Callithrix jacchus: one gene and its partners. The protein of the gene in region 1 interacts with the protein of each later gene in a pairwise test. Links are inferred from orthologs where the notes say so. Each region holds a gene or a part of one and is shown in the gene's direction. Other genes may lie near its edges.

Evidence for each region.
Region 2: the proteins of NUPR1 (region 1) and MPHOSPH6 interact in a two-hybrid assay, tested with the Homo sapiens proteins (2 studies listed by BioGRID and IntAct). The link is inferred for Callithrix jacchus from reciprocal best matches to the Homo sapiens genes NUPR1 and MPHOSPH6.
Region 3: the proteins of NUPR1 (region 1) and FUS interact in a two-hybrid assay, tested with the Homo sapiens proteins (2 studies listed by BioGRID and IntAct). The link is inferred for Callithrix jacchus from reciprocal best matches to the Homo sapiens genes NUPR1 and FUS.
Region 4: the proteins of NUPR1 (region 1) and RAN interact in a two-hybrid assay, tested with the Homo sapiens proteins (2 studies listed by BioGRID and IntAct). The link is inferred for Callithrix jacchus from reciprocal best matches to the Homo sapiens genes NUPR1 and RAN.

What each region holds. Positions count from the first base shown.
Region 1 is NC_133513.1:29,263,030-29,269,781, reverse strand, and holds NUPR1 (nuclear protein 1), read left to right. Parts: upstream 1-3,435; 5' UTR 3,436-3,512; coding exon 3,513-3,624; intron 3,625-4,287; coding exon 4,288-4,424; 3' UTR 4,425-4,437; intron 4,438-4,781; 3' UTR 4,782-5,078; downstream 5,079-6,752. UniProt on the Homo sapiens protein: Transcription regulator that converts stress signals into a program of gene expression that empowers cells with resistance to the stress induced by a change in their microenvironment.
Region 2 is NC_133521.1:39,717,671-39,725,324, reverse strand, and holds the start of MPHOSPH6 (M-phase phosphoprotein 6), read left to right. Parts: upstream 1-2,884; 5' UTR 2,885-2,923; coding exon 2,924-2,974; exon of another isoform or gene 2,975-3,218; intron 3,219-4,327; exon of another isoform or gene 4,328-5,087; coding exon of another isoform or gene 5,088-5,090; intron 5,091-7,654. UniProt on the Homo sapiens protein: RNA-binding protein that associates with the RNA exosome complex. Involved in the 3'-processing of the 7S pre-RNA to the mature 5.8S rRNA and play a role in recruiting the RNA exosome complex to pre-rRNA; this function may include C1D.
Region 3 is NC_133513.1:30,696,354-30,703,331, forward strand, and holds part of FUS (RNA-binding protein FUS), read left to right. Parts: intron 1-938; coding exon 939-963; intron 964-1,054; coding exon 1,055-1,209; intron 1,210-2,705; coding exon 2,706-2,850; intron 2,851-3,049; coding exon 3,050-3,249; intron 3,250-3,439; exon of another isoform or gene 3,440-3,558; intron 3,559-3,588; coding exon 3,589-3,817; intron 3,818-5,422; coding exon 5,423-5,457; intron 5,458-6,944; coding exon 6,945-6,977; intron 6,978-6,978. UniProt on the Homo sapiens protein: DNA/RNA-binding protein that plays a role in various cellular processes such as transcription regulation, RNA splicing, RNA transport, DNA repair and damage response. Binds to ssRNA containing the consensus sequence 5'-AGGUAA-3'.
Region 4 is NC_133510.1:134,085,353-134,092,915, forward strand, and holds RAN (GTP-binding nuclear protein Ran), read left to right. Parts: upstream 1-3,452; 5' UTR 3,453-3,483; intron 3,484-3,944; 5' UTR 3,945-3,954; coding exon 3,955-3,990; intron 3,991-4,170; coding exon 4,171-4,255; intron 4,256-4,337; coding exon 4,338-4,463; intron 4,464-5,916; coding exon 5,917-6,104; intron 6,105-6,644; coding exon 6,645-6,815; intron 6,816-6,913; coding exon 6,914-6,958; 3' UTR 6,959-7,307; downstream 7,308-7,563. UniProt on the Homo sapiens protein: GTPase involved in nucleocytoplasmic transport, participating both to the import and the export from the nucleus of proteins and RNAs. Switches between a cytoplasmic GDP- and a nuclear GTP-bound state by nucleotide exchange and GTP hydrolysis.

The sequences.
Region 1 (6,752 bases):
TTCCAGAAAGTGCAGGAGATTGCATTCTCAGCACTGGGTGTGGGCCAAAGTAGGCACTAATAAATGTTTGGGAAGGGAGGAGGAAGGAGAGAGGGAGGAAGGAGAAGGGAGGAGGGAAAGAGGGAGGAAGGGAGGAGGGAGGAGGGAGGAGAGAAAGAGGGAGGAAGGGAGGAGGGAAGAGGGAGGAGAGAAAGAGGGAGGAAGGGAGGAGGGAAGAGGGAGGAGAGAAAGAGGGAGGAAGGGAGGAGGGAGGAGGAGGGAGGGAAGAATCGTTGATAAGTGCTCCCACACACGGAGTGGCCAAATCTTTGCCAGTGTTTGGCCGGCTGTGCTTAGAATGAGCACTGGGATTGGGATCAGCTGGACAGGCCATGGGGGAAATCTTTCACTACTCACTAGTGGCGTGACTCCAGCAAGGCACTCATTGAGCCTTCGTTTTCTTTTTTTGGAGAATGGGGAGACAACAGTGTGCCAAGTGCCTGACTCTGGGCTGAGCCCTTCCATACATGCGGGGCTCTCACCCTCCTCCTTTTTCCTTTTCTTTTTTAATTTTCTTTTTTATTTTTATTTTTGAGATGGAGTCTTGATTTGTTGCCCAGGCTGGAGGGCAGTGGCACAATCTCGGCTCACTGCAACCTCCACCTCCCCGGCTCAAGTGACTCTCCTGCCTCGGCCTCCTTGTAGCTGGGATTACAGGTGCCCGCCACCACAACCAGCTAATTTTTTGTATTTTTATTAGAGATGGGGGTTTCACCATTTTGGCCAGGCTGGTCTTGAACTCCTGACCTCAGGTGATCTACCTGCCTTGGCCTCCCAAAGTGCTGGGATTATGAGCATGAGCCACTAAGCCTCGCTTTTTAAAAAATATACATTTTTATTTATATATTCATATATTTTTAGAGATGAGTCTCTCACTGTTGCCCAAGCTGGAATGCAGTGGGGTGTGATCATGGCTCACTGCACCCTTGACCTCCTGGGTTGAGGCCATCCTTCTGCCTTGGCTTCCCAAAGTACTGGAATGACAGGCATGAGTGACCACACCTGGACTCTTAATTTTTTTTTTTTTTTTTTGAGATGGAGTTTTGCTCTTGTTGCCCAGGCTGGAGTGCAATGGCGCAGTCTCAGCTCACTGCAACCTCTGCCTCCTGAGTTTAAGTGATTAGGAGAATCACTGCCTCAGTCTCCCGAGTAGCTGGGATTACAGACACGCACCGCCACACCTGGCTAATTTTGTATTTTTAGTGGAGATGGGGTTTCTCCATGTTGACCTGACCTCAGGTGATCCGCCCATCTCAGCCTCCCAAAGTGCTGGGATTATAGGCGCAACCCACCACACTGGGCCCTATATATATTTTTTAAGACAGGGTGTTTCAGGCTGGGCGCAGTGGCTCATGCCTGTAATCCCAGAACTTTTGGAGGCTGAGGAGGGCAGATCACAAGGTCAGAAGATCGAGACCAGCCTGGCCAAGATGATGAAACCCTGTCTCTACTAAAAATACAAAAATTAGCTGGGCGTGGTGGTACATGCCTCTCGGGAGGCTGAGGCAGGAAAATCGCTTGATCCCGGGAGGTAGAGGTTGCAGTAAGCCAACATCATACCACTGCATTCTAGCCTGTACTATAGAGGAAGACTCCATCTCAAAAACAAAAAACAAAAAACAAAAGAAAACAAAAAACAGGGTCTTGCTCTATTGCCAAAGCTGGTCTTAAACTCCTAGCCTCAAGCCATCCTCCCACCTTACCCTCCCAGAGCCCTGGAATCACAGGCATGAGCTACCATGCTAGGCCAATCTTTGCTTAATTTAAGGTTATTTTCCTCTTTCTCTTATCACCTGGTCTGTTATATCACCGCAGCTCTGTTTTCATTCAATATCCTGTCTTCACTTTCATTTCCTGGGTGTTAAGGAACTCACCCATCACCCAAATCTGGGAAAACAAAGACTAAATTCAATTCTGGCTCAGGCAAGGGAGAAACACAAGCAGAAGTTCAGCTTCTTGTGTTTTTATTTTTGTTTTGAGACACAGTCTCGTTCTGTCACTGAGGCTGGAGTGCAGTGGCTCAATCTTGGCTCACTGCAACCTCCGCCTCCTGAGTTCAAGCGATTCTCCTACCTCAGCCTCCCAAGTAGCTGGGAGTACAGGCACTTGCCACCACACCTGGCTAATTTTTGTATTTTTAGTAGAGAAGGGATTTCACCATGTTAGCCAGGCTGGTCTCGAACTCCTGACCTCAGGTGATCTGCCTGCCTCGGCCTCCCAAAGTGCTGGTGCTCGGACTACAGGCATGAGCTTGGCCTCATTATGTCTTCTGTTTCAGTATATCCATATTTTGAAATACGTATTATTTTATTATAATTTGTTTTTGAGACAGGGTCTCGCTCTGTCACCAGGCACTGTGGCAAGTGTCTTTTAAACATTATCTTCATTTGATCCTCTCCCCAACTCTAGGAAGAAGATACAATTATTATCGTTCTTGTTTTACAGAATTGGAAACCAAGGCACAGAGAGGTGAAGGGACTCACCCAACGTCACACGGAAAGTGGTGGGTCCGAGGTTTGAACTGAGGGCATCTGGCTCCAGACCCTGAACTCTCCAACCGTCTGCCACCCTCCTCTGAGGTGAGGAAGATTACATTACTGGGGACCATGTTTCAGGATATTAAGGGGTTTTCCAAGACGTTTCTCAGGAAAAAAAAGCGGGGGCTGTGGCTCACACCTGTAATCCCAGGACTTTGGGAGGCCGAGGTGGGTGAGGTTGTCTTGAGGTTTCAGAAGTTTGAGACCGGCCTGGCCAACATACCCCATCTCTACTAAAAATACAAAAATTGGCCAGGTGTGGTGGCAGGTGCCTGTAATCCAGCTACTCGGGAGGCTGATGCAGGAGAATCGCTTGAATCCCGGGAGGAGGAGGTTGCAGTGAGCTGAGACTGCGCCACTGCACTACAGTCTGGGTGACAGACTTCGTCTCAAAAAAAAAGAAGAAGAAGAAGAAAAACAAAATGTTGAGTGTGACTGGATGGAAGCTGCCAACTTGCCCCGGCACAGGGTGTGCTCCCCTTCCTTCCTCACGTCCTGCGTCTCAGCAAGAATTCTGGTGCTGGGGTTAGCTGTGTGGCCATCACCCCAGGCCCAGGTGAAGCCCTCAATCAGATGAGGCCATGATCCCAAGGAGTGTTTAAGCCCAGATCCTGCCTCTTCCCTGCTCCCTGCCGAGAGGCGGGACCTCCATATGGAAAATATCCAACTGGGTGAGCCTGGAAGGGAGGAGGCAGAGTGGGGCTGGACTCAGGGACCAACTCTTCCCCTCTCGTGACTGTGTTTACTGGCTGGATTCCGGCAAGGAGCCAGATTGCATCAGACAGGGCCTGATGGGCTGGAGCCAGACTGGTCTGAGAAGGAGACACAGCCTTATAAGCTGAGGGAGTGGACTGGGAGTGGAGAGGCACAGGCGCAGGAAAGCAGAGACAGATAAAGCATTAAGAGAAGAGAGGCAGGGAAGACAAGCCAGGCACGATGGCCAGCTTCCCTCCAGCAGCCAGTGCCCCCCAGCAGCCCCCAGCCCCAGAGGACGAGGACCCCAGCCTGGATGAATCTGACCTCTACAGCCTGGCCCATTCCTACCTGGGTAAGGCCCACTTGGCCATCTCCACGGTCCTTCCTCCTCTCCCGAAATCAGGACCCCTCCGTGGACTTCCCACGTCCCTTTGCCCTTCCTCTCTTCCTCTCTTTCTTCTTTCTCTCTCTCCTCACTCTATCTCCTCACTCTTTCTTTCTTTTTTTTGAGAGTCTCACTCTGTCAGCCAGGCTGGAGTGCAGTGATGTGATCACAACTCACTGCAGCCTCGAACTCCTGGGCTCATGTGATCCTCCTGCTTCAATCTCCCAAGTACCTGGAACTTCAGGTGTGCACCACCTGTAGTGGGGAGATGGGGTCTCACTGTGTTGCCCAGGCTGATCTCGAACTGCCGGGCTCAAGCAATTCTCCTGCCTTGGCCTCCCAAAGCGCTGAGATTACAGGAGTGAGTCACCACGCCCAGCCCACTCACCCTTTTCTAGCAAGCTGTTCCTTCGATCCTCAGGTCACCCCTCTCTAGTCCCTCATCCCCGGAGTGCTGTCTTACTCAGCCTGGGACCTCACACATATCCGGGGAAGCAACATCCCACATTTCACAGAGGGGAAGCTTCCCCCTGCTCGCTCCATCCCCGCAACCCTGAATCCCTGCCTCTCTTCCGAGGCCTCTCATCCTGCCTCTGCCCATTTCACCTCTAAATCCTGCCTTGGTGACAGGAGGCGGAGGCCGGAAAGGTCGCTCCAAGAGAGAAGCTGCTGCCAACACCAACCGCCCCAGCCCTGGCGGGCACGAGAGGAAGCTGGTGACCAAGCTGCAGAATTCAGAGAGGAAGAAGCGAGGGGCACGGCGCTGAGACAGAGCTGGAGGTAAGGAGTCCGGAGACCCAGAGAGCCCAAGGCGGTGCCTCTGCCATAAAGGACAGGCCAGAATGTGTGTGGTTGGGTGTGAAGGAGGGATCAGACAGATTGTTGTCTCAATGCAGAATAAAATGAGACGATGCAGAATAAAATGTTTGGCTGTGAGTTTCCTAGTGGCCAGAGCAAAGGGGGAACACAGAACCTTTCCAATTGAAGGGAAATTTAATTTACAGAGACAGAAACTGAGGCCAAAGAGGGTGGGTCCTTCCCTGAAGTCACACATTGAGTGGAAGAGGCAGAATTAGAACCCAGGTCTCTGTCCCTTTCACCACTTGCTTTTCCTCACCCCCCAGATGAGGCCAGACCACGGACACTACACCCAGCAACGGAGACGGGACTGTGGAGGAAGGAGGACCCGGGACAGGATCCAGGCCAGCTTGCCACACCCCACACCCCTAGGACTTACCCTGCTGACTGAGTCTCTAAGGGGCTACCAGGAAAGCACCTCCAACCCCAGAAAAAGTGCAAGATGGGGATTGAGATGCAAGGAAGGGAGGGGCAGAGCCAGGAAGATACCCCAGAAAAGAAAGCTACAGAAGAAACTGGGGCTTCTCCAGGGTGGCAGCAACAATAAATAGATGAGCACAGCAGCCACAGCTTTGGTGTGTGTTTTGCTCGGGCACGTGCGAGCCTGCCTGTACCTGCACATGCATGAACGCGGGAGAGCCTCTGGGATGTGTGTCTGTATTTGGTGTATCTGGGGCAGGGAGTGTTCTTGCTTTTGGAGGAGTCTATGCTGTGACTGTGGCTTTTGGTTTGTTTACGCGTGCATATATTTTAGTGCATACATTTCTGTGGGCTCCTACATAGTGGAAAAGAATTTCTTCTGCTTTTTTGTGATACTGCCCATGAACATGGCTCTCCCCAGCACCTGTCTGTTTTTGTTGATTACGTCCTGTTCATAGAAAACCATCTTTTTCAATCTGAAAAAAAAAAAAGACAAAAGAAAAAAATAATAATTAAAACAAACAAACAAAAAAAAAAAAACACTTTTTGAGGCCAGGCATGGTGGCTCATGCCTGTAATCCCAGCACTTTAGGAGGCCGAGGAGGGCAGATCCTCTGAGGTCAGGAGTTTGAGACCAGCCTGGCCAACGTGGAGAAACCCTGTCTCTACTAAAAATACAAAATTAGCTGGGTGGTGTAGTGGTGCGTGCCTGTAATCCCAGATAGTCAGGAGGCTGAGGCAGGGGAATTACTTGAACCCTGGAGGTGGAGGTTGTGGTGAGCTGGGATTACGCCATTGCACTCTAGCCTGGGCAACAAGAGTGAACTCTGTCTCAAAATAATAATAATAATAATAATATCCTGCTGAACACTCTAGAGAGAAAGAAAAAATAATAAACAGAAGACCACTTTTGAAGGGAATGCTACTTATGGATGCCATCTATAAGATGGAGAAAACTGAGATTTAAAATATTAAAGGCCAGGAGCAGTGGCTCATGCCTGTAATCACCGCACTTTAGGAGGCTGAGGTGGGAGGATCACTTGAGCCCAGGAGTTCGAGACCAGCGTGGGCATCATAGTGAGACCCCCATCTCTATCAATTTTTTTTTTTAAAGAGAGAGTCTCGCTCTGTTGCTCAGGCCAGAGTGTAGTGGTGCCATCTTGGCTTACTGCAACCTCTGCCTCCTGGGTTCAAGCAATTCTTGTGCCTCAGCCCCCTGAGTAGCTGGGACTACAGGTGAGCACCACCACACCCAGCTAATTTTTGTATTTTTAGTAGAGATGGGGTTTCACCATGTTGTCCCGGCTGGCCTCAAACTGTCCCCCTCAGCCTCCAAGCCTTTGGGAGGCCAAGGAGGGAGGATTGCTTGAGGCCAGCCGGGGCAATATAGCAAGACCCTGTTTCTACAAAAAATTTAAAAATTAGCGAAGCGTGGTGGCTCACTCCTGTAGTCCTAGCTGCTAAGAGGCTGAAGTGGGAGGATCCCTTGAACCCAGGAGTTGGCAGGTGCAGTGATGCATGATGGTGCCACTGCACTCCAGCATGAGCAACAGAGTGAAAACATGTCTTGAAAAAGAGAGAGAGGGAAGAAGGAAGGAAGGAAGGAAGAAAGAAAGAAAAGAGAGCAAGAAGGAAGGGAGGGAGGGACAGAGGCAGGGAGGGAGGGAGGGAACTATTAAGGGATTTGGCCTAGCTCACTCAGGGCTCCTATTCAAGGCTCTTACTGTTTTCAACTTCTCTTCTAGTTCTGGGAGGTGAGATGGGGAGGGAGATTCTTATCCAGTGCTATGTCTCAGGACCAGCGTTGAAGAAGAATA
Region 2 (7,654 bases), on another chromosome or scaffold:
CAAATCAGAATCCAGACTGGTATAATAGGGGTCCATAGAGAAGGTGTGGTGTTTCTAGCATCCTTAGATGACAGATATATGCTCTTAGGTCTGCTGAGAATGCTGTCTTCCTCTTCTGAAGCTGAGAAGACATGTGCTCATCCAGTCCAGTCACCTCTCAGTTTCCCAAGTACGGATGGCAGACCGAGTCCCTTTCCCTTTCACCCCTCTCTCAGAGCACCTCTTTGAAAATCCTGCACAAAAGTCAAACTTGTAGAGACAGACAGCAGTCCTGAGGGGCTGAGGAATTATTGTTTAACAGGAACTTGCAAGTTGGGTCCTATGGATGGATGCTGGTGAAAGTAGCACAACAATGTGAAGGATTGGTGGGCCTTTCCCCTGATTAACTCCTCTCCACATTTAGGAGAGTCCTTTTTCCAGGCCAGAATGGTTTAGGTACCCTTGCTGTACCCTTTCATGATCCTCATGCTTTCTTTACCAGCCTCTCATCAAAACTGTCATCTACAACTAATTATATGGTACATTAGTTTGCTAGGGTTACCGTTAGAAAACACTACAGACTGGGTGCCTTATACAAACTGGGTGTGATTTCCTCACAGTGCTGGAGGCTAGAAGTCTAAGATCAAGGTGTTGGTAGGTTTGGTTTCTCCAGAGGCTTTTTTTTTTTTTTGGCTTTCAGATAGCCTTTCTTTTATGCAAACACAACCTGGGTGTTTGTGTCCAATTTCCTCTTCTTTTATTGGTTTTTTTGTTTGTTTGTTTGTTTTGAGATGGAGTCTTGCTCTGTTGCCCATACTGGAGTGCAGCTGCAGGATCTCGACTCACTGCAGCCTCGCCTCCTGGGTTCCCGTGATTCTCCTAAGTCTCCCTAGTAGCTGGGATTACAGGTGCACGCCACCACGCCTGGCTAATTTTTTTGTATTTTTAGTAGACAGGGTTTCACCATGTTGGCCAGGGTGGTCTGGAACTCCTGACCAGCCTGGTGATCCGCCCACCTCGGCCTCCCAAAGTGCTGGGATCACAGGTGTAAGCAACTACACCCAGCCCCAAATTTCCTCTTCTTATGAGGACGTCAGTCAGACCGGATTAGGGCTCACCCTAAGAGTCGAGTTTTAACTTAATCACATCTTTAAAGGCCCTATCTCCAAATACACTCACATTCCGAGGTACTAGAAGTTGGGACTCCAACGTATGAATTTTAGGGGATGCAATGTGGCTTATGATTAATTTCACTGTTTGCACTGTTAAACCTTATAACAGGGACTTTGTTTTGTTCATATTTCGGGAACTTAACAGTTGCTGCTCCGTCTCCTGAGCACGCTCTACCTCCAACTCTTCATACAACAGGTTTTTCTCAACTTTCAAGCCTTAGCACCATCATCTGACAAGGGCCGTTCCGGGCCACCTTGTCTAGAGTAGCCCTAAACTTTACTCTATCATGTCACTGTTCTTTTTCACAGCATTCATCACTTATTTATGTCCAGAATGCCAGCTTCCGGAAAAGTGGGGATACGCTTTTACACGGTATTATGTCCCAGTATCTCACACACAGTCACAAGTGAATGAGATTCTATAGCTACTTAGCACATTAACATTTTATTTATTCCTGGGAAAACCTGAAGGGCTTTTAACATCCCAATCGGTTTCTGAATTTCATCTCTGATATGGAGTAACTGTGTGAATTCCAGCAAGTCCCTCACCCGCGGTCTCGAATCCCTAACAACACGATGACGATACCTTCTTCCCGCTCTTATGAAGATTAAGTGAACTAATTACTCTTAAGTGCCCAGCTCAAGAATCTGACATAGAGCCCATGCTTGTCAGCTGAGATGCTACTAGCTTTCGGATGTTCCACAGCATCGACCTGGGAATGGCTTTCGAAAATGTCTTTAGGTGGTACCCAGAGCATTAAACAACGGGGTATGAACGCTACCCTATTTTCAGTGTTTAATTCTTTTTTGCTCTGTTGTTTTGTTTTTGAGACAGGATGTCGCTCTGTAGCCCACACTGGAGTCCAGTGGCGGGATTTCAGCTCACTGCAGCCTCGACCTCCCGAGTTCCGGCAATTCTCCAGCCTCAGCCTCCCAAGTAGCGGGGACCACAGGTCCAAGACACCACACCCAGTTATTTGTTTATTTATGGTTGGGTGGGATGGGGTCTCCCTGTGTTGCCCAGGCTGGTCTTTTCAATTCTTTACATCAAAACCAGGCCTTCCTCTCATGCGCGTGTGTTTGGCACCCATCCCTGCCTCCATCTCTTGCTGCTTCTTGCAATTCTTCTGTTTAGCGGAGATCCCTCAGCCAGAGTCGCACCCGCAGGGGCCGGCGGGTGGAAGGTGGCTCTGCGCGGGGACCGGAAGCCAGACTGCCTGGGGCGGCCCCGGCCGCGTTCCCCCGGGACTCCGGGCGGCTGTGAGGACGGGAGCAACTCGTGGGGTCCTACTGAAAACGACGTGGCCCCTCCCGCCACTCACGTTATGAAGACAAACACGTAGTTAACCCTGCCCGGGCGGGTGGCAGGCATCGCGGGAACCTATGGTGCCGGCGAGGACTACTGAGTCTGGAGGGGGTGCCTGAGGAAGGGGGTCCCCGAGGGAGGATAGGCCTTCGAGGTGGCCAGGCCCACGTCCCGGGAGGGCGGCCCACAGCTCGGGGCAGCAAGGCTCTGGGGGGCCTCCTCTGACTTGGGCCTGTTTAGTATCTGCCGCGCTCATCCCCGCGCGACTGCCCCACGCGCTTACCCGAGCCTTTCAGTCGGCAGAACGCCCACAGAGGGGCCGCACCCGCGCGCGAGACACCGGGCGGGGAGGCAGGGCGGGGTGGGGAGGAGCGTCGCACGTTACACACGCGACGCAGCTACGCACGCGGCTCCGCGCATGTGCGGTGAGGATCGCGGCCGAGTGCGGCGCTGGGCGGGAGCCACCATGGCGGCCGAGCGCAAGTCAAAGTTGTCCAAGAATCTGCTACGCATGAAGGTGCGGGGACGCTGAGCCACGCCGGGCGGTAGGGGCACCCGGTCCTTCCGACTTGACCTGGGCCGAGGCGGCGGGCGGACGGGGGACACCAGAGAGGCCCCAAAGGCTTCCAGCTCTTGTGCTCATTCATTCACTTAGCGCCTGCTCTGCACTGTTTACTGGGAACCAGGTTGTGAATTAGGCTGACTCTCTTGGGAGGCCCGCGGGCGGATCGGAGCTTATATACACATAAGCAGCAGTCAAGGTACAGTTCACCAAGTTCAGTGAGGGTAGAAGCGCCGGGGACCCTGGGAACTCACTGAACTCGCGGAGTCGTGGTCCCTTTAGGTTACTGGGAGGGTGGGAGGCACAGCGTCTTAAAGTACGAGAAACTGAGTTCAGAAGTCCCAGAGGCAAGAAGGAAAAAGAAAAGCATGGAGATTTCCAGGAACTAGAGATAATTCCGTATGTTTGGAAGGCAAATACTAAGAAATGAGGTTGCAGAGTAGGCCATGGTCACAACGTGCAGGGAATTTTAGGCCTGATTAAGGATATTTTCCTTTATTTTGTGAGCAATGGAAAGCTCAAAAATAGCAAATATTTACATTTTTGGGGTACTCTATAATGTTTTAAGTGTTTTGCATATATTAACCTATGCAGTTCACAAAATGACACTTTGAGGTTACTACAGGCAGTAACTCTATTTTTGCAACTAAGGCAACCGAAACGGAAGTAAGTAACTTACCCAAAGTTACACAGCTAATAAGTAGTGCAGACGGGATGGAACTCAGTCTAGCTCCAGAACCCTGGCTCTTTATTACTACTCTAATGCCTCTCACTGAGCACTACTAATAGAGAGTAGCAAACTGTTACATGTCATGTTTAAAGAGGTGGAATTTCCAAAAAAAAGGGAAGGAAGCTATTCATAGTGTTTTGAAAGATTGGAGAGAGAGCCCATTCGCAGTGACTCATGTCTGTAATACCAGCACTTTGGGAGGCTGAGGTAGGCAAATCGCTTAAGCCCAGGAGTTTGATACCAGCCTGGGTAACGTGGTGAAACCCCATCTCTACAAAAAATACAAAATATTAACCAGGCGTGGTGGCATGCACCTGTAGTCCCAGCTACTTGGGAGGCTGAGGTAGGAGGATTGCTTGAGCCTGGGAGATCGAGGCTACAGTGAGCTGAGATGGTGCCACTGCACTCCAGCCTGGGTCACAGAGGGAGACCCTGTCTCAAAACGAGAAAGATTAGAGAGTAAACAATGAATGGGTGAATGAGGATAAATTGTAGCATAACTTATAGTTTGTCAAGCACTTTCATGGATAATAGCAAAATTTGAATCTTTACTGAACAGAGTTTGCTTTTGATTTTAGGATTTGTAATAACATTAATTTCAGAGAAGTGGAGTGAATTGGCCAAGCAGATACTGAAAAGATTAGCAATTGTTTTAGCTCTTGGAATAAGCCAGATGATGTACTACGTGACTCAGGCTCAAACTAAAGATCTGAGTTGCAACTAAAAAGGAGGACATTAACTTAAAATAAGTGTCCACCCCCACCAAGTGGGGAGACCCAACTGAACATTGGAAGCAAAGGAGAGAGAAGAAGATCACCCAAGTTCTCTATTTGTTTTAGAAGCTTTTGGTCATCGATAAGAAAGAACTTACTGGCAAGATAGCAGGAGACACTACCTGTACTAACTGAACAGAGTATACTGTGAAAAGGCATGGAGCAGCTGCACTTGAGTGCCATAGCCAGAGCTAAGTCCTATATAGCATGAGTCTCCAACCTCTGGGCCATGGACCAGTACCAGTCCAGGCCTGTTAGGACTGAGCCACACAGCAGGAGGTGAGTGGCAGGCAGCCAAGCAAGTGAGGGAAGCTTCATCTGCATTTACAGTTGCTCTCCACAGCTTGCATTACCACCTGAGCTCTGCCTCCTGTCAGATCAGTGGCAGCATTAGATTCTCCTAGGAACACAAACCCTACTGTGAACTGCACATACGAGCCACCTACCTTGCACGCTACTTAGGAGAACCTAATGCCTGATGGTCTATCACTGTCTCCCATCACCCCCAGATGGGACTGTCCCAGTTGCAGGAAAACCAGCTCAGGGCTTCTACTGATTCTACATTATGGTGAGTTGTATAATTATTTCGTTACATATTACAATATTAGAAACAAAGTGCACAATAAATGTAATGCACTTGAATCATCCCTAAACCATTTGTCCCCCCCTCCCCACCCCACCCATGGAAAAATTGTCTTCCAGGAAACCAATCCCTGGTGCCAAAAAGGTTGGGAACCACTTTTTATGGCAAGTATGAGGGTTGAGGATTTAATCCTGACTCACTTGAATGCTTCTGACTTGGTAAGCCATTGAGGGGTGATCCTGATGGGAAGCAGAAAAAGGAGGATGTGGATAGAAGGTCTGTCAGTATGGAATGGTTGTAGAGAGGGTGCTTATTTGTGATTTTAGCACTATTAGACTCTTAGAACAGGGCTTGGCAAACTTTCTGCAAAGGACCATATAATAAATATTTTGGGCTTATGAGCCAGGCAATCTCTGTTACAACTACTCAGCTCTGCCATTGTTGTTCAGACCAAATGACCATGGCTGTGTACCAGTAAAACTTTATCGACAACGACAGACATCCAGCCTGAGGACTGTATTGTGCTGATGTCTGCTCTGAGTCCTCACTAGTTTTAGAATGTGTTCTGAAATGCTCTAGAGTAAGAGAATTGAACTTCTACGTAAGTCTGGAGGTGCTTGATTTATATTCACAGTGAGTTCTATCCTTTCCCTATGTACAGAACATAAGTTTATGGCTCTTTTGTATACCCAAAGAATAGGTACCTGACTAAATGGGAGAAAAAAGGGCAGTTGGGCAATACTGATGAGTTTTACCATGAGGAATATTAATGATTAAATGAGGCATCTGCGTTTCAAGAAAACCATCCCAGAAAGAGAGTCTGGAAAAGTAAGACAAGTCTAGGTTCATTTACATTCAGAGAACCTTGACTGGGTGAGCTCTTTTGTGTCCCAGGGGTGCAGCCTAAGTACCAATGGTACAAGATGAACGAGAGTCATGGTCTATTCAGAACCGTAGTCTTGGGAGACACCAAAGCAGCACAATGCTGGATAATAATCCAGTGTTGATAAGGCTGTCTTGGAAAGGTGCTCCTTTATAGGAGCAGGCCTAGGAAGAGCCAATCGGGGAAGTCTTACTAGAGGACACATGCTGTGGGCCTACAAGAGTAAATATTGTGTGAGGCAAAAAATGGAAACATGTTGTTAAGTAGCAAAGGCAAAAGGACGTGGTAGTATAATGTGTACATTCCAGAAACTGCAGTTCTTTCCTAGAATGAGGATATAGACACAGGTGAAATGGGTAAGGACTACAAGACAGTAGTCTACAAACTTGTTTTCTTTTCTTATTTAAAATAGTAATGTATTCACAGGGAGTTGCAAAAAGTGTTCAGGGGTATCTTGGGCATCCTTCATGCCACCTCCCCCAGCAACAACATTTTATATCACTAGAGGACAATAAAGAGCCAGGACATTGACAGTGAGCTTACTCAGATTTCACCATTTTGCATGCACTCACTTTGTGCAGACAGTTGCTGGGTCATATGGCTAAGTGTATGTTTAGTTTGCTAAGAAACTGCCAAGGTGTTTTCCATAGTGGCTGTACCATTGACTTTTCCAGCAGCCATGTATGAGTGATCAGTTTCTTCACATTCTCATCAGCACTTGATGTTATCACAGGCATGTGTTACTTGACAGGGATACATTCTGTAAAATGCAGTGTTAGGGGATTTCGTCATTGTGAGAGCATCATAGAGTTGATGTACACAAACCTGGATGGGATAGCCTGCCACATACCTAGGCTGTATGGCACAGCCTGTTGTTCGTGGGCAACAAACCTGTACAGCATGCTGCTATACTGAATACTGTAGGCTGTTGTAACACGGTGGTAAGTATTTGTATATCTAAACATATCTAGACATAGAAAAGGTACAGTAAAAATGCAGTATTACAATATTAGGGGACCACCATCATATATGGGTTTCATCGTTGACCAAACATCATTTTGCAGCACATGACTGTGTTTTATTCATGAACGTTCTTAAGGTTTTTTCCATTTAACTTAGTAGTCATTGTTAAAGCCTTTATACCTAAAAAGGCTTGTGTTTCTTTTTGGAAGAACTGGAATAGAAAGAGAAGAAATATGGGGCCTGAATAAGGGAAATAAATGGGGGCACATAGAAACCAGTGGAAGCTGAAACCTAACTGCTAGGAGGCTCCTGGGTGTTTTCTGATTTTATTTTCTCCAGTGTTGGTATTTTATCATTTTGTTCTGGTTTGCCTCTTAAGTTTGTTCACTTGTTCCCAGAAGAAAAGTAGATATTCCTGCTGGCGAGAGACTAGCAGCAGGACTGTTATTTACTGCCGTATTTTGAGTCAGGTTTCTGCAGATTTGATAATAAGAGCAGCTGAAGAGTTTAGCAGCATTTCAGAAGACAAATAAAAAAGAGCAGACTTACAGATGCACCTTTGCTTCTGTCTACATTTATCGGGCGCTTACTGTGCTTCAGTCACCTTTCTGGGACAGATGAAGGAGATGACTCAGACACAGTCCCGGTCCTAAAGGTCTCCAGAAAAGATAGACACTCAAAAAGTTAAGATGTGGTGAGTCTG
Region 3 (6,978 bases), about 1.4 Mb from region 1:
AACCATCTGGAGCGACAGGACTGGGGAATCGAGTATCAGTCGACTTTCGCCTCCTAAAGCGAGCACTTGGATGATCTTTTTGATTCCGAGGGCTTTGGATCCTGTGACTTCACTAAAAAGCCCACTTAATCTCCGGGGTTGGTCACAATGAAGAATGGCCTTTTTTGAGACATTCTCGTTCTGTGGGTCTGGGTTGAGAGAACGGAGGCCACAGTCTGAACACTGCTTGAATTCAAACCTGTGCCGGTTGGTAGTTCTGCGACTTCGGGCAAGTTAGTCTATTTTGACTCCTGGGGATAAGGCCTTTTTTATAGAATGGATGGAAGTACTGTGCAGTGTTTTAGGGCAACAGTCACTGACATGAATTGGGCTTGCAGAAAGTGGCTGTCCACCGAGACCTTGGTTTTCCCAATGGTTAAGGCTTTTGGGACTCTGTAGAAACTTGCATTTTCTTCTGTTTTCTTTTATTATGAGAACACTTGGCTGATATGCCAGCTTGCTCTTGTCTCATGGGGGAATTGTATGACCTTTTTTGCAACATGGTCCAATTTTTTTCTTTTGAGAGAGTCTCGCCCTGTTGCCCAGGCTGGAGTGCAATGGCGTGATCTCAGCTCCCTGCAACCTCTGCCTCCCAGGTTCATATGCGTCTCCTGCTTCAGCTTCCTCAGTCTGGGATTACAGACGTCCGCCACCATGCTTGGCTAATTTTTTGTATTTTTACGGATTTCACCATGTTGGTTAGGCTGGTCTTGAACTCCTCACCTCAAGTGATCTACCCACCTCGGCCTCCTAAAGTGCTGGAATTACAGGTGTGAACAACCTTGCCTGGCCAACGTGGTCCTGTTTACCCATCAGTGCTTGAGTTAAGGAATTTAGCTTTAATTCAACTCTTTCAGAGTGTTGGCTGAAGATAATGTGATTGTATTTTTCTTTTGCAGATTATACTCAACAAGCAACCCAAAGGTGAGTGCTATTTTTGCGTTTCCAAAGTTTGTAGAGGCCGACGGTGGTCAAGGCCTCTTTTTCTGATCACGCTGGTTTTACTTTTTTCCAGCTATGGGGCCTACCCCACCCAGCCGGGACAGGGCTATTCCCAGCAGAGCAGTCAGCCCTATGGACAGCAGAGTTACAGCGGTTACGGCCAGTCCACAGATACTTCAGGCTATGGCCAGGGCAGCTATGGTTCTTCTTACGGCCAGACCCAGAACAGTGAGTCTCTCTCAGCGAGTCATCTTTTCCTCTACTTTCTGAATGTTGTTTTTTTTCCTTTTTGAGACGAAGTCTCGCTGTGTCACCCAGGCTGGAGTGCAGCGGCGTGGTTTCTGCTCACTGCAACTTCTGCCTTCCTGGTTGAGGTGATTCTCGTTGAGCCCACCCTCCTGAGTAGCTGGGATTACAGGCGTGTGCTACCATACCTGGCTAATTTTTTTTTTTTTTTTGGTATCTTTAGTAAAGATAGGGTTTTGCCATGCTGGCCAGGCTGGTCTCTAACACTTGACGTCATGATCCACCTGCCTCAGCCTCCCAAAGTGATGGGATTACAGGTGTGAGCCACCGCATCCGGCTCTGAATACTGCTTTTGTTAAACCTGAGCAGCATGGAAATGTTGAAACTGTTCCATATTTCCTTTCCCTGAACCACTGTATAATTCTCAAAACTCTTGGGAGTCTGAGTTCTTTACAGGGCATTGTGGCAAACCTACAGTACTGAGGAAGGAGGATCCCTTGAGCCCCAGGAGTTTGGGGCTGCAGTGAGCTATGATTGTGCTTGAGAGTAGCCACTGCATTCTAGCCTGGGCAGTGTATTGAGGCCCTGTCTCAAAAACAAAAAAAGACAAAAATGTTTATTGGTTTGTAATTGTTTCCATTTATTTTATTTGGCTTTAAATTTTTTTGGTCCTCCTGTTTTTCATCTCAGCATGAAAGAGAGCATATTTTCTAAAGGAAGAAGAATGTTAGGCTGATTCTTTTTTTTTTTGAGATGGAGTTTCGCCGTTGTTACCCAGACTGGAGTGCAATGGCACGATCTTTGCTCACCGCAACCTCCGCCTTCTGGGTTAAAGCAATTCTCCTGCTTCAGCCTCCCGAGTAGCTGGGACTACAGGCATGCACCACCATGCCCAGCTAATTTTTGTGTTTTTAGTAGAGACGGGGTTTCACCTTGTTGACCAGGATGGTCTTGATCTCTTGACCTCGTGATCCACCCGCCTCGGCCTCCCAAAGTGCTGGGATTATAGGCGTGAGCCACCGTTCCTGGCAGGCTGATTCTTAAATTGAGAAAATGGTTTTGCTTGAAAATGTATAAAATCATATGATACCTAAGAAGGTGGGATTTGTCCCAAGGTCCTGAAGCATAACCAACGAATGTGGTTGTCCTGCAGAAACTGCACACATAGCTGCACATTGCAGTGCGGTTGCAAGGGATCCTTGGGCCTGGGATTAGAGGGTGTTTCTGGAGATGGTGTTGGGATTGGTGGGGTGAAATTGGAACTGTTCTAAAGAGTTGGTAGAAGTTGGAGCATTAACTTTAGGTTTTAGAAGGAGGGTGGTAACTTTTTGCCTGTGAGTTGCTAGATAACTAACGGCTTCTGAGAGGCTGACTTTTTGAGTATGGGTGAGTGTTAGGTTGTATATGTTTTCTTTAACCCATTCCATACATTTTCTCTTTGCTGTGGCTTTTGTGACTCCCTTTTTTTATCCTCATAGCAGGCTATGGCACTCAGTCAGCTCCCCAGGGATATGGCTCAACTGGTGGCTATGGCAGTAGCCAGAGCTCCCAATCATCTTACGGGCAGCAGTCCTCCTACCCTGGCTATGGTCAGCAGCCAGCTCCCAGCAGCACCTCGGGAAGGTACAGTGGTGTTGATGTCAGGGGAAGGCTTGAAGAGGGGTGAATTGATGAGGAATGATAAAGGGACCCAGGAGTAGGAGCAGCTTTGAGGTATAATTGGGGTGGGGGAACCTATGTTGGGTATAGAGAATGGAATACACTAAAAACAAAATTTGGGTATGCTGGGATTATGATTTTGTTTTTCATTTGTTTTCTTTAGTTACGGGAGCAGTTCTCAGAGCAGCAGCTATGGGCAGCCCCCGAGTGGCGGCTACGGCCAGCAATCTGGCTATGGTGGACAGCAGCAAGGCTACGGACAGCAGCAAAGCTCCTATAATCCGCCTCAGGGCTATGGACAGCAGAACCAGTACAACAGCAGCAGCAGCAGCAGCAGCGGTGGGGGTGGAGGTGGGGGTGGAGGTGAGATGTCCTCAGCTTTGCCAGCAGTTCCATTTTCTATAAGGATTTGTATTCTCCTGTTTGACTCTTAGCTTAAAGGGATTGCTTTCTTGTTCCCTATATGTCTTTTTAATTTATTTTGTCCTTTATTGCTTGGCACTTGTTGAACCTTTTTGTGTTACTTTACTTTTTTGTTTGTTTTTTTCCTTAAAACCTATAGCACCTGGTATTTCCAGGAGGTCTCCTATCCAAATGCTAACTAGGCCCGACCCTGCTTAGCTTCTGAGATCAGACGAGATTGGGTGCATTCAGGGTGGTATGGCCGTAGACTTTTTAAAACCATTCTTTCTTTTCTCACAGGTAGCTATGGCCAAGATCAGTCCTCCATGAGTAGTGGCAGCGGCGGCGGCAGTGGTGGTTATGGCAATCAAGACCAGAGTGGTGGAGGCAGTGGTGGCTATGGACAGCAAGACCGTGGAGGCCGTGGCAGGGGCGGTGGTGGTGGTGGTGGTGGTGGTTACAACCGCAACAGTGGTGGCTATGAACCCAGAGGTCGTGGAGGTGGCCGTGGAGGCAGAGGCGGCATGGGGTAGGTGTCTTATGAGCCAGGGAGTATCTTTGGTGGGGAGTGTGGAGGATTGCATGAATTTCCCTGAAGCCAGTCCCTAGTGCATGGTTTAGTATTCTTGTTGTCTAGGGATCTGTGAGGGCTTTGATTTGGGGTCAGTGACTGTTTTTACATCCCCATTTTATTTTTGTGAGAACTTGGGAGCTGAAACTCCCATCCATACCACTAAATAGAGATTTTGAGTATTGATACTTGTTTCCAAAGAGAAAGAAATCATACATAGATATGTATGGATTGGAGTCATTGATATCCTAGGCAAGAAACACGGAAGTGAAGACTTCTTTCTCTGCAAGGGAAACCGATGATCCCACTCCTGGGAAATAGTAGGGAAACTTGGTATGTGTATGCCCATGTGTCCTCTAGGGAGTTGGTAATGATTAACCTGACTTCAGCTTCTAGGAATTGGCTACTCTTCCTGTTTTCTGTAGTCATTTGAATCCACGAGCTTGATTTGCGCTAATTTGACAGTGATTTTGTGTGTGACTTGGTTTGTGGGGCCATCCGACTGAAGTGTACAGACCTTTTGGGCAAAAATATGCTTGACGGTGGTCTCCCAACTATTTGTTCCACTGTCTGCCTTCCCCTGGTTACTTAAAAATCATCAATTTGTCCAACTGGACATTCTTTCCTTCCTGCTGAAGTTGATTTGAGTAAAACCTTAGATTTGATGTTAAAACAGCCGTCAAATCTGTTGGTAAATATGATTTGAAGGACCTTACCCTGTCTCCCTTGAAAAAGGGGAGGAGTGTCAGTGTTACTGTTTTTGGAAAAAGTAGATTTTTAAAACAAGTTGGGATATGGTAAGTATGCAGAGGTGGGTGGGGGCAATCTCAAAAACGTACAAAAATAAGGAAAACTCTGTTGTGTGCGTGTGTTTAATGCAAAACTTTAAAAAGAAAAACAACTGTTATGTGACTGTTAACTTGCTCTGCATTTTATGTGCCACAGGTATGAAAGGTGACATTGCAAAATACTCCGCTCTTCTCGCAGTGTAGAAGGGGTGACCCCGGGGGTTGGGGGAGATCAAAAACAGCTCAGTAGTTAGGACAGGGCTTAGCTAAGTTTGTCTTGCTTTAAGGGGAAATTGCTTTTGGTTTTGACTTTTTATGGAATGGGGTTGGGTCTGCTTGCTGCTTTCAAAGCAAAAACCACAAAAATGTGTTCAGGGCTACCCCAGCCTGGTGTGAAATGTCTTCTGGGTAAATTGGGGTAGGGTTTTTAAACCAACTACTTGGTTGTCAACCACTTGCGACAAGAGGAAAAAAAACATCTGCTCCATCGGAAGAACGACCGAGGAAAATGGGTCATTTTTTTTCCAGAGGAAATAGATATATAACCTTTTAAAGCAAAATCTTTATAAACTGTGTCTGAGAAATTGCACACGTGTGTGTGACACGCTCAAAGGTCAGACAAGGGGTGGTCAGGAAGGGATGTATTTTAGTAGTCACTTGTATCTTTTTCCAAAAACACCTACCCATGTTTGGGGAATGTTAAACAAAATCAAAAAAACACCCTTTTGTAGCCGTTGGAAGCTTCATGTCCTTTCTTCTAACTTGTCTTCTCCAGCGGAAGTGACCGTGGTGGCTTCAATAAATTTGGTGGTAAGTGAACAGAGTTTCCAAAATTCCCAACTCCCAGCAATGCTTTGTCTGATTGTTCATTTGCAGATGTCTTAGCGTGTTAATTTAAGTGCAAAGGTATTGAGGTGTCCAGAACCACCTCCAAAAAGGGGTAGGGTAGAATGCCACCTGTTGCCTGGTGTGTGCTAACCTGGAGCAGGCAGGGGTAAGACTCATTAGTCATCTTTTACCAAATGGGTTTGCCCCCCGGTTAATAAGAGGGGTCTAGTTAGGCCTGGGACGGGTGTTGTCACACCTGGCACTTAGTGACCACCATCATGAGAAACTGGAGAGAGTGTGCTGGAACACGTGGTGCCAACTTGGCTTTAGGACCCTTTTGATCATTGTGTCCAAGGCTTGCGTGTGTGGGAGTGTGTGTGGGAGACAACCTCCAAATGTTTTAATTCTGGAAGAGGGATGTGACATTGCCCTGCCCTGAGGATGGTGAAGTTGGTATACATGTATAAAGTACGAAATGGTGTCAATGATTGCAATTCTCTGTATGTGGATTTAACTCAGATGGGCAAATAGAAACTAGCTCTGGGAAGGAACATGTGCACTACTTCAAGAAAGTTTGGAAGCATGTGTGGCTCATGGGAAATAACCAGGTCTTAAACAGCACAAACTGAATTCATGGACCAGGAAGGTCTTAAAACAGCACACACTGAATTCATGGAAAAATGACAAATTTGAGAAGTCTCCCAGTAAGCTGGAACTTTTCTGGTTTGGTTAACTAACAAAAGGTTTCTTGATTTGTCTCAACATTTAAAGCCAAAGGCTTGGGTTCATGACACTTATGTCATTGCGTGTGGGTACAATATTTATATATGGCGAATTCAGATAAACATTGGTCAAAGATGGTCTCTGGAAAAACAAAATAGAGGCTGCATTACGGAAATAAGATTTCTGGTCTGTTCCCTGGGACATGCTTAAAAAATACAATAGCTATTATGTGTGGTTTTTATTTTCATGTGGTTTTGGGGAAACAACATGGTTTTAAGAATGGTTTCTAAAGATGAAATTAAAAATTGTTCCACAAGGGATAAGTGTCTTTGGTGGTAAAGTTGGGAGAAACTGGATCGCATGGCTCGTGGTGAGCCCATCTCTCTTGGGTGAGAGAACCGGGCCAAGCTGAGTTGGTTTGTTCACTTTAATGGGTCTCCTTTCCCCTGCTGTCTGTGCTGAGGACATTTCCCAGCCTGAGCTGGGGGAGGCAGCATTTTCTGAAGTGTGGAGTTGTCTCTGTGGAGACTCAAGTTACAGATCTTAAGGGGCCTACCTAGAATTTTCTCCTCTGGGCAGGTGACCCAGGAAAGGGGTTTGGAGTGAGGCTGTGAGCACTTACATGATATTTTGCTAATTTGGATTTGGTGTTAATTTTTTTCCTTGTTCGTTTTTTCCTGTTGACTAACGGCTCCCCTTTCCTTGTTTTTGTTTTTGTTTTGTTCTTTTTTTCCATGTCACTTAAGGCCCTCGGGACCAAGGATCACGTCATGACTCCGG
Region 4 (7,563 bases), on another chromosome or scaffold:
GGAAATCACTGCAAGGTTTTACGAGTGGAGGAGGAGGATCTGATATGGTTTTAAAAGCTCACTCTGGGCCACGTGCAGTGGCTCATGCCTGGTATCTCAAAACTTTGGGAAGCCAAGGCAGGAAAACTGTGGCCAGAAGTTTGAGACAAGACTGGGCAATATAGCAAGACCCCAGCTCTACAAAAAAGTAAAAAAAATTCTGGGTGTGGTGGTGCGTGCCTGCAGTCCCAGCTACTCGGGGGGTTGTCGGGGGGCTGAAGTGGGAGGATCACTTGACCCCAGGAGTTCAAGGCTGCAGTGAGCCATGCTCACAGCACTGCACTCCAATCAGGGTAAACAGAGAAATACCCTGTCGCTAAAAAACAAACAGATCCACTCTGTGCCTCCTGATCAGACACTAAGGACACAGCATCATCTTGTGGTTGCTCTACCCAAACTGCATGAGCTGTATCTAATGATGAGGAAGTATCAGAGAAACACAAATGAAAAGACAGTGTACAAAACACCTGGCCTATAAAATACTCTGCAAGGCCGGGCGCGGGGGCTCACACCTGTAATTCCAGCACTTCGGGAGGCTGAGGCGAGTGGATCACCTGAGGTTAGGAGTTCAAGACCAGCCTGACCAACATGGTGAAAAGCCATCTCTACTAAAAATACAAAAATTAGCTGGGTGTAGTGGCGGGTGTCTGTAGTCCCAGCTACTCAGGAGGCTGAGGCAGGATAATCGCTTGAACCCGGGAGGCAGAGGTTGCAGTGAGCCAAGACTGCGCCACTGCACTCCAGCCTGGGTGACGAGAACAAGACTCTATCTCAAAAAAAAAAAAAATTGTCATCCTAGTACAGGGGCCATGCTGTTCTCTGTATCATTCCAATTTTGGTATACGTGCGGCCGAAGTGATCACTCGACTACCTGTGCCAACATAATGAAACCCCGTCTCTACTAAAAACACAAAAATAAATAAATAGCTGGGCATGGTGGTGCAGGCCTGTAATCCCAGCTACTCAGGAAGGTGAGGCAGGAAAATCGCTTGAACCTGGGAGGCGGAGGTTGTGGAGGGCCCAGATCGCGCCCCTGCACTCCAGCCTGACCAACAAAGTGAAACTGTCTCAAAAAACAAGAAGAAAAAAAATAGAACATTGCAGGTAAAGTCTTGTTTGACTCCTCTGCTCAGTGCCATCACTCCTTTCTACCCTTTCCTGAAGGAATAACCATCAGGATATGGTGTACGGATCCTTGCAGTCAATTAAAAAATAAAATACATATATCCAATAACCAACATGCTTTTGTTCTGTGTATTTGTAAAAATATTACCTAAATGGCATTATGCTATAAATATAATGTGTGTGTATATATTCCCTCTAGGCAAAATTACATACAGTGTTAGGCTTTACATATTCTTTTTTTTTTTTTTTGAGACAGTTTTGCTCTTGTTGTCCAAACTGGAGTGCAGTGGTGCAATCTCAGCCCATTGCAACCTCCGCCTCCCAGGTTCAAGCCATTCTCCTGCCTCAGCCTCCCAAGTAGCTGGGATTACAGGCGCACGCCACCACGCCTGGCTAATTTTTTGTATTTTTAGTAGAAACGGGGTTTCACCATGTTAGCCAGGCTAGTCTCGAACTCCTGACCTCAGGTGACCTGCCCACCTCAGCCTCCCAAAGTGCTGGGATTACAGGCGTGAGCCACCGCACCTGGTCTATGTATTAATTTTTGAAGACAGGGTCTTGGTCTGTCTCCCAGGCTGGAATGCAACGGTGCGGTCATTGCTCACTGCAGCCTGGAACTTCTGGGTTTGAGGGATCTCCTACCTCAGGCTCCTAGAGTGCTGAGATTACAGGTGACCTAGACTTTATAAAGATATGATCACTTCTTTTCTCAACATTATCCTTTTGACATCTATCTAACCTGTTCAAACAGATGACCATCTTTCCAATGTTCTACAGCATTAAATGCTGTGCACATGCATGAGGCATGAGTTTCCCTTCAGGGCCTCTCCCTAGAAACGGAAATCCAGGGTCACAAGCAGCGGGCATTCCCGTTTTGCTGTTAGATTCTGCTCTCCCACCAGCAGCGTCTGAGAGGTGGCTGGCGTTCCCGAGGGTCCCTGGACTTGCGTTTCCAGCTGGCCGGTTCTCGCGCGCCTTGTGCGCACTTTGCGTCACTGGGGTTCCCAGCGGACTCGCCTGCAAGTGTGCTCGTGACTGCTGGGCGGACCCCTGGGTCCCTGGGGCTCTTTCCCCACGGGGAACTCTTTTCTGAGGTGCTTGACTGCGCTGATTTGGGCCTTTATCTGTCTGCATGTCAGCAGGGGCGCCCAGGAAGGACCCGTGGGTCGGGGTCCCTCTAGCTCAACCTGGCCTAGGCTCTTCACAGCTTCAGCTCCACAGGGGGCCGGGAGCTTGGGCACTTCCTCATTCCGCCCCCGAGGGTAACTACGGCTGGAAGACCCGCCCACACCGCAAACGAAATTTCATCGTTTTGTTTGTAGGATGCGGCCGCCATGGCTGCCGACCTATGAAACGCTCCGAGAAGGGGTGCTATGGCCGGGCGCGGTGACTGCATCTGCAATCCCAGCGCCTTGGGACGCCGAAGAGGGCGGATCCCTTGAGGCCAGACTGGGAGACACAGTGAGATCCTGTGTCTCAATTAAGACAAACAAAATCAGCCCGGATGTAGCGCGCGCTTGTAGTCCCAGCTACTCGGAGGCCGAGACGGGAAGACTGCGTGAGCCTGGCAGTTCCAGACCAGCCTGGGCCATACAGCGGGACTCCGTCTCAAAAGAAATAAGCACCCGTGTTTCTGGGTGGGCGCATCCCTCTCTGATGCCTCGCTCTCCAACTGTCCCTGGGCCTGGGGGCGTGAAGGCTAAGCTCTGGGGAGACAAAGGCGCGGGCTGACCCTGGGGGACCGGCCTAGGACCCATTCATTCATTCATTCGTTCTGTCACCTACCGGTCCTGCGCCGGCCTATGCCCCAAAGACCCCAAGTACCCTCACTCCACGGGGCGCAGACAACGACAGGCTGGCCAGCGCCTGGAAGCCGCGTGCCTGACCGCGTCTGCCCGAGCGAATCCCGCCTCCCGCCGGGGAGGCCGCAGGGCCGCGCCTGTCCCGCCGCGCCCAGCATCTCCCGGCCAGGAGCGCGCCGCCTCACCAGTGGCGCATGCGTGCCCGGGAGCCCGCCCTGAGTGTTGGCGCACATGGGGCCCGCGGGTCGGCGTGCGTGCGCGCTCCCGCCTCGTCCTCCCACGCGGTCCACCGCGCCTACCGCCCCACCCTGCGCTCCACCGAGCCGGGTTGCGTGCGTGCGCGCACGCGCGGTCCACGTGGGCGGGCACCGGACCGTTGCTCCGCCCCTTGTCAGCCCCGCCCCGCGCCTGCCCCGCCCCTGCCGCGCGCCGGCGTCGGCTGCGTCTCAGGCGTTTGAATTGCGCTTCCGCCATCTTTCCAGCCTCAGTCGGACGGGCGCGGAGACGCTTCTGGAAGGTAACGACGCGGCTGGCCGGGCAGGGCCGGGGTGGGGGGGACAGGGGCCGTGGCGGCGGGACAGGGGCCGCGGCCGGGGTCAGGGCCCGGGCTGGTGGCCGGCCCCGGGGCAGCGAGCGGCTGTGAGTAGGTGGGTGGCGCGGGCCGGGCCGGGCCGGGGGAAGAAACGGGCGTGGGGTCGGCGCCCGCCCCCGCGAATCCCGGTTCCATCCCGCGCTCCCATCCCGCTCCCGGTCCCAGTCTCGTCTCCATCCCGGCCCCCCCGTCCGTCGTTCCTTGGGTCCCGCTGCCCCGGATGCCGGCCCCGCCCGCCGCCTTCCCGCTCCCAGGCCCGGCCGCCATGGCGCCGCGGGCGGGAGGCCTTTGTGGGGCGGGCACGTGGGGCGCGGGGGGCGCGGGAGCGGGGCCGCCATGGGCTGCGGGGCCGCGCGAGCGCTCGTCTCCGTCCTCTGCCTCCGCAGGAACGCCGCGATGGCTGCGCAGGGAGAGCCCCAGGTCCAGTTTAAAGTAGGTAACCCTGCGGGGCGGGCGGCGGCCGGGCCGGCCCGCGTGCGCCTCGCGGTCCCTCCTCCCGGGCCCACGATGGCTGTTAGCCGGGCCCCGCGTCCGCGTTCTTGGCGTGGCGGACTCTGGGATCCGGAGAGGTGAAGTGTTCTGGGTTTACTTCCAAAATGTGTTCTCCAACAGCTTGTATTGGTTGGTGACGGTGGTACCGGAAAAACGACCTTCGTGAAACGTCATCTGACTGGTGAATTTGAGAAGAAGTATGTAGGTATGTGCGGGAGCACCTTGTTCGCGGACACGGGTGGGAAACGGGTCAATGCGCCCACTCACTGGCATCGCTTCCGTCGCAGCCACCTTGGGTGTTGAGGTTCATCCCCTGGTGTTCCACACTAACAGAGGACCTATTAAGTTCAATGTGTGGGACACGGCCGGCCAGGAGAAATTCGGCGGACTGAGAGATGGCTACTATATCCAAGGTAAGCATCCGTGACTTGCTGAACCGTTGCTGAGAGCTTTTGTGTACTGCATCCTTCAAGGTTATAGAAAATCAGGCCGGTTCCGGCAAACAGTGCTTAATACTGTTAGGGGAACTGTGTCATTTTTGGGTTAAAAAACGTGAGCTTCGGGGAGCTGACCACCATTTTGGTGGCAGAGGAGAACATTTTATGCAAGTTGTGTTATTTGCATGCTGTGTCATGCTAGGCATGGTTTAGAAGAAACTGTGACTTACACTGGGTACATGTCATAGTTTAAAACAATCACAGACAGGCTGTTAGAGCAGTTCAGTATATGAAAACAGGCTCAGGTATGAATTTAGACGTAGTGATCAATGATTGTTTGTACTCCATTAAAAAACACCAGGGAAGATAGGGATCTTAGCAAGTGTTATGCAAGACTAGGTGATTTCTTGTTACATTGTTTGTACTAAGTTGCGGAGAGTATTTTTCTCAAATAGATTGATTTTTAAAATTGCAAGGAAGACGTTCATTATACCAAAAAGAGGAGTAAAGGAAATACTCATCTCTCCTGGATCCTCACTTTGCTGATAACAAATTATTTGGAATCATTCCATGCCTTTTGTTTTCCTTTAGTATGTACAAATAAACACAAGAATTTCCCCCCAAAAATCTTTTAACCAAAAAGTTGTGGATTCTTGCTTTATCAACTATGCCATAGCTGGCCCTGCAGGTGAATATATAGACTTTATTTGGGTTTGTTATTATTTTTTGAAACAGGGTCTCTATGTGGCCCAGCCCAGAGTGCAGTGGTGTGATCTCAGTTCACTGCAGCTTCTGCCTCCTGAGCCAAGCTGTCCTCCCACTTCAGCCTCCTGAGTAGTTGGGACTACAGGCACAGGCCACTATACCTGACCAATTTTTGTATTTTATTTATTTTTATTTTTATTTTTTGTAGAGATGGGGATTCATCATGTTGCCCATGCTGATCTCGAACTCATGAGCTCAGGTGATCACCCACCTCGGCCTCTCAAAGTGCTGGGATTACAGGCATGAGCCACATCGCTTGGCCTGTCTGGATTTAAGACAGGAATATTTCCTGGTATAGTCAGCCATGCCATTGAAAGACCTTCTGAAGAAGGTGTTTGCAGGCCCCTTACCCTCAGAATATGGCAGCTCGGTTCTGCAGAATCTCACTTATCATTAATCTACCCGAGATACTTTTTGGGATGAGGGTACTGTTAATGATGAAGTGTATCAGGGAGGTTTGACGGGGTCAGCTCATCTTGCTTAGGAAGAATTGTGAATTAACATTTTTAGAAATTGCGAATTGACATTTTTAGAATTGGAAGTGAAGGGAGAAAGCTAGGAGACTCGGTGAGGTCTAAGACCAGATGAATCCTAGACTGGTTCTTGGCATTCTTCATGTGTGTAGTAAACTAAGTGTACTAACTACCACAAATGTTCCTTTCAGCCCAGTGTGCCATCATAATGTTCGATGTAACATCCAGAGTTACTTACAAGAACGTGCCTAACTGGCATAGAGATCTGGTGCGAGTGTGTGAGAACATCCCCATCGTGTTATGTGGCAACAAAGTGGACATTAAGGACAGGAAAGTGAAGGCAAAATCCATTGTCTTCCACCGAAAGAAGAATCTTCAGGTGTGTGAAAATTAAAACTTCCTGAGTTATTTCTCTTAGAGGAGATGATACGTAAGACCATGAAATTGACCAGTCTATATTATATATGGAAATAATTTTATTTTTATGCTATTTTTATTGTTTTTAAAGACTGATAGAGATGGGGTTTCACTGTTGTCAGGGTTGGTCAACTGAAGTGTGTGTGTCTCTTGTTAAGACAGGGTCTTGCCCTGTTGCCAAGGCAGGAGTGCAGTGGCATGAACATAGCTCACTGCAGCCTTGAACTCCTGGCTCAGGCAGTCCTCCCACAGCCTTCCGAGTAGCTAGGACCACGAGCACTCACCACCACGCCCACCTAATTTATTATTTGTAGAGATGGGGTCTTGCTCTTGTCCAGGCCTGATCTTGTACTCCGGGCCTCAGGCAATCCTGCTACCTCATCCCCCCCAAAGTGCTGGGATTACAGGCATGAGCTACCATGCCCCACCAAGAATCTTTTTCTTATTTTGGAATGTTCTGGGAAAATCAACTTTAAAAACTAATTTTTACTTTTTTAAACAGTACTACGACATTTCTGCCAAAAGTAACTACAACTTTGAAAAGCCCTTCCTCTGGCTTGCTAGGAAGCTCATTGGAGACCCTAATTTGGAATTTGTTGCCATGCCTGCTCTTGCCCCACCGGAGGTTGTCATGGACCCAGCTTTGGCAGCGCAATATGAGCACGACTTAGAGGTATTGTGGCCACTTTGCTGTCCAGGCTGTTGTGTTTGGCTTGTGTATTCCTGGCAGTTTTGAGCTGGAGTGTTAACAGTGTTCCTCTCTTCATCTAGGTTGCTCAAACAACTGCTCTCCCGGATGAGGATGATGACCTGTGAGAATGAAGCAGGAGCCCAGCGTCAGAAGTCTAGTTTTATAGGCAGCTGTCCTGTGATGTCAGCGGTGCAGCGTGTGTGCCACCTCATTATTATCTAGCTAAGCGGAACATGTGCTTCATCTGTGGGATGCTGAAGGAGATGAGTGGGCTTCGGAGTGAATGGCAGTTTAAAATACACCTTCATTGTTTGGACTTGCATATTTAGCTGTTCGGAACGCAGTTGATTCCTTGAGTTTCAGATATGAGACTGCTGCAGTCACATCACAATATTCAGTGGTGAAATCTTGTTTGTTACTGTCATTCCCATTCCTTTTCGTTTAGAATCAGAATAAAGTTGTATTTCAAATATCTAAGCAAGTGAACTCATCCCTTGTTTAAAAATAGCATTTTGAAGCCACTAAAATAGAGATATTTATGCCATGTTAATGTTTGGATTGCCTTGCTGTCCTTAATTTGAAATCTGTTAGGTTAATTTCTTCCTATGTCTACTTTTTATTTTTGTACATTTGAGCTGTGTCTCACAAACTCAGCATGACAGGTCGACAGACTGTTTGGTTAGGAGAGTTAAACGGTGTAAAGACTGTGCAGGTGAAGTAAAGCGATGTC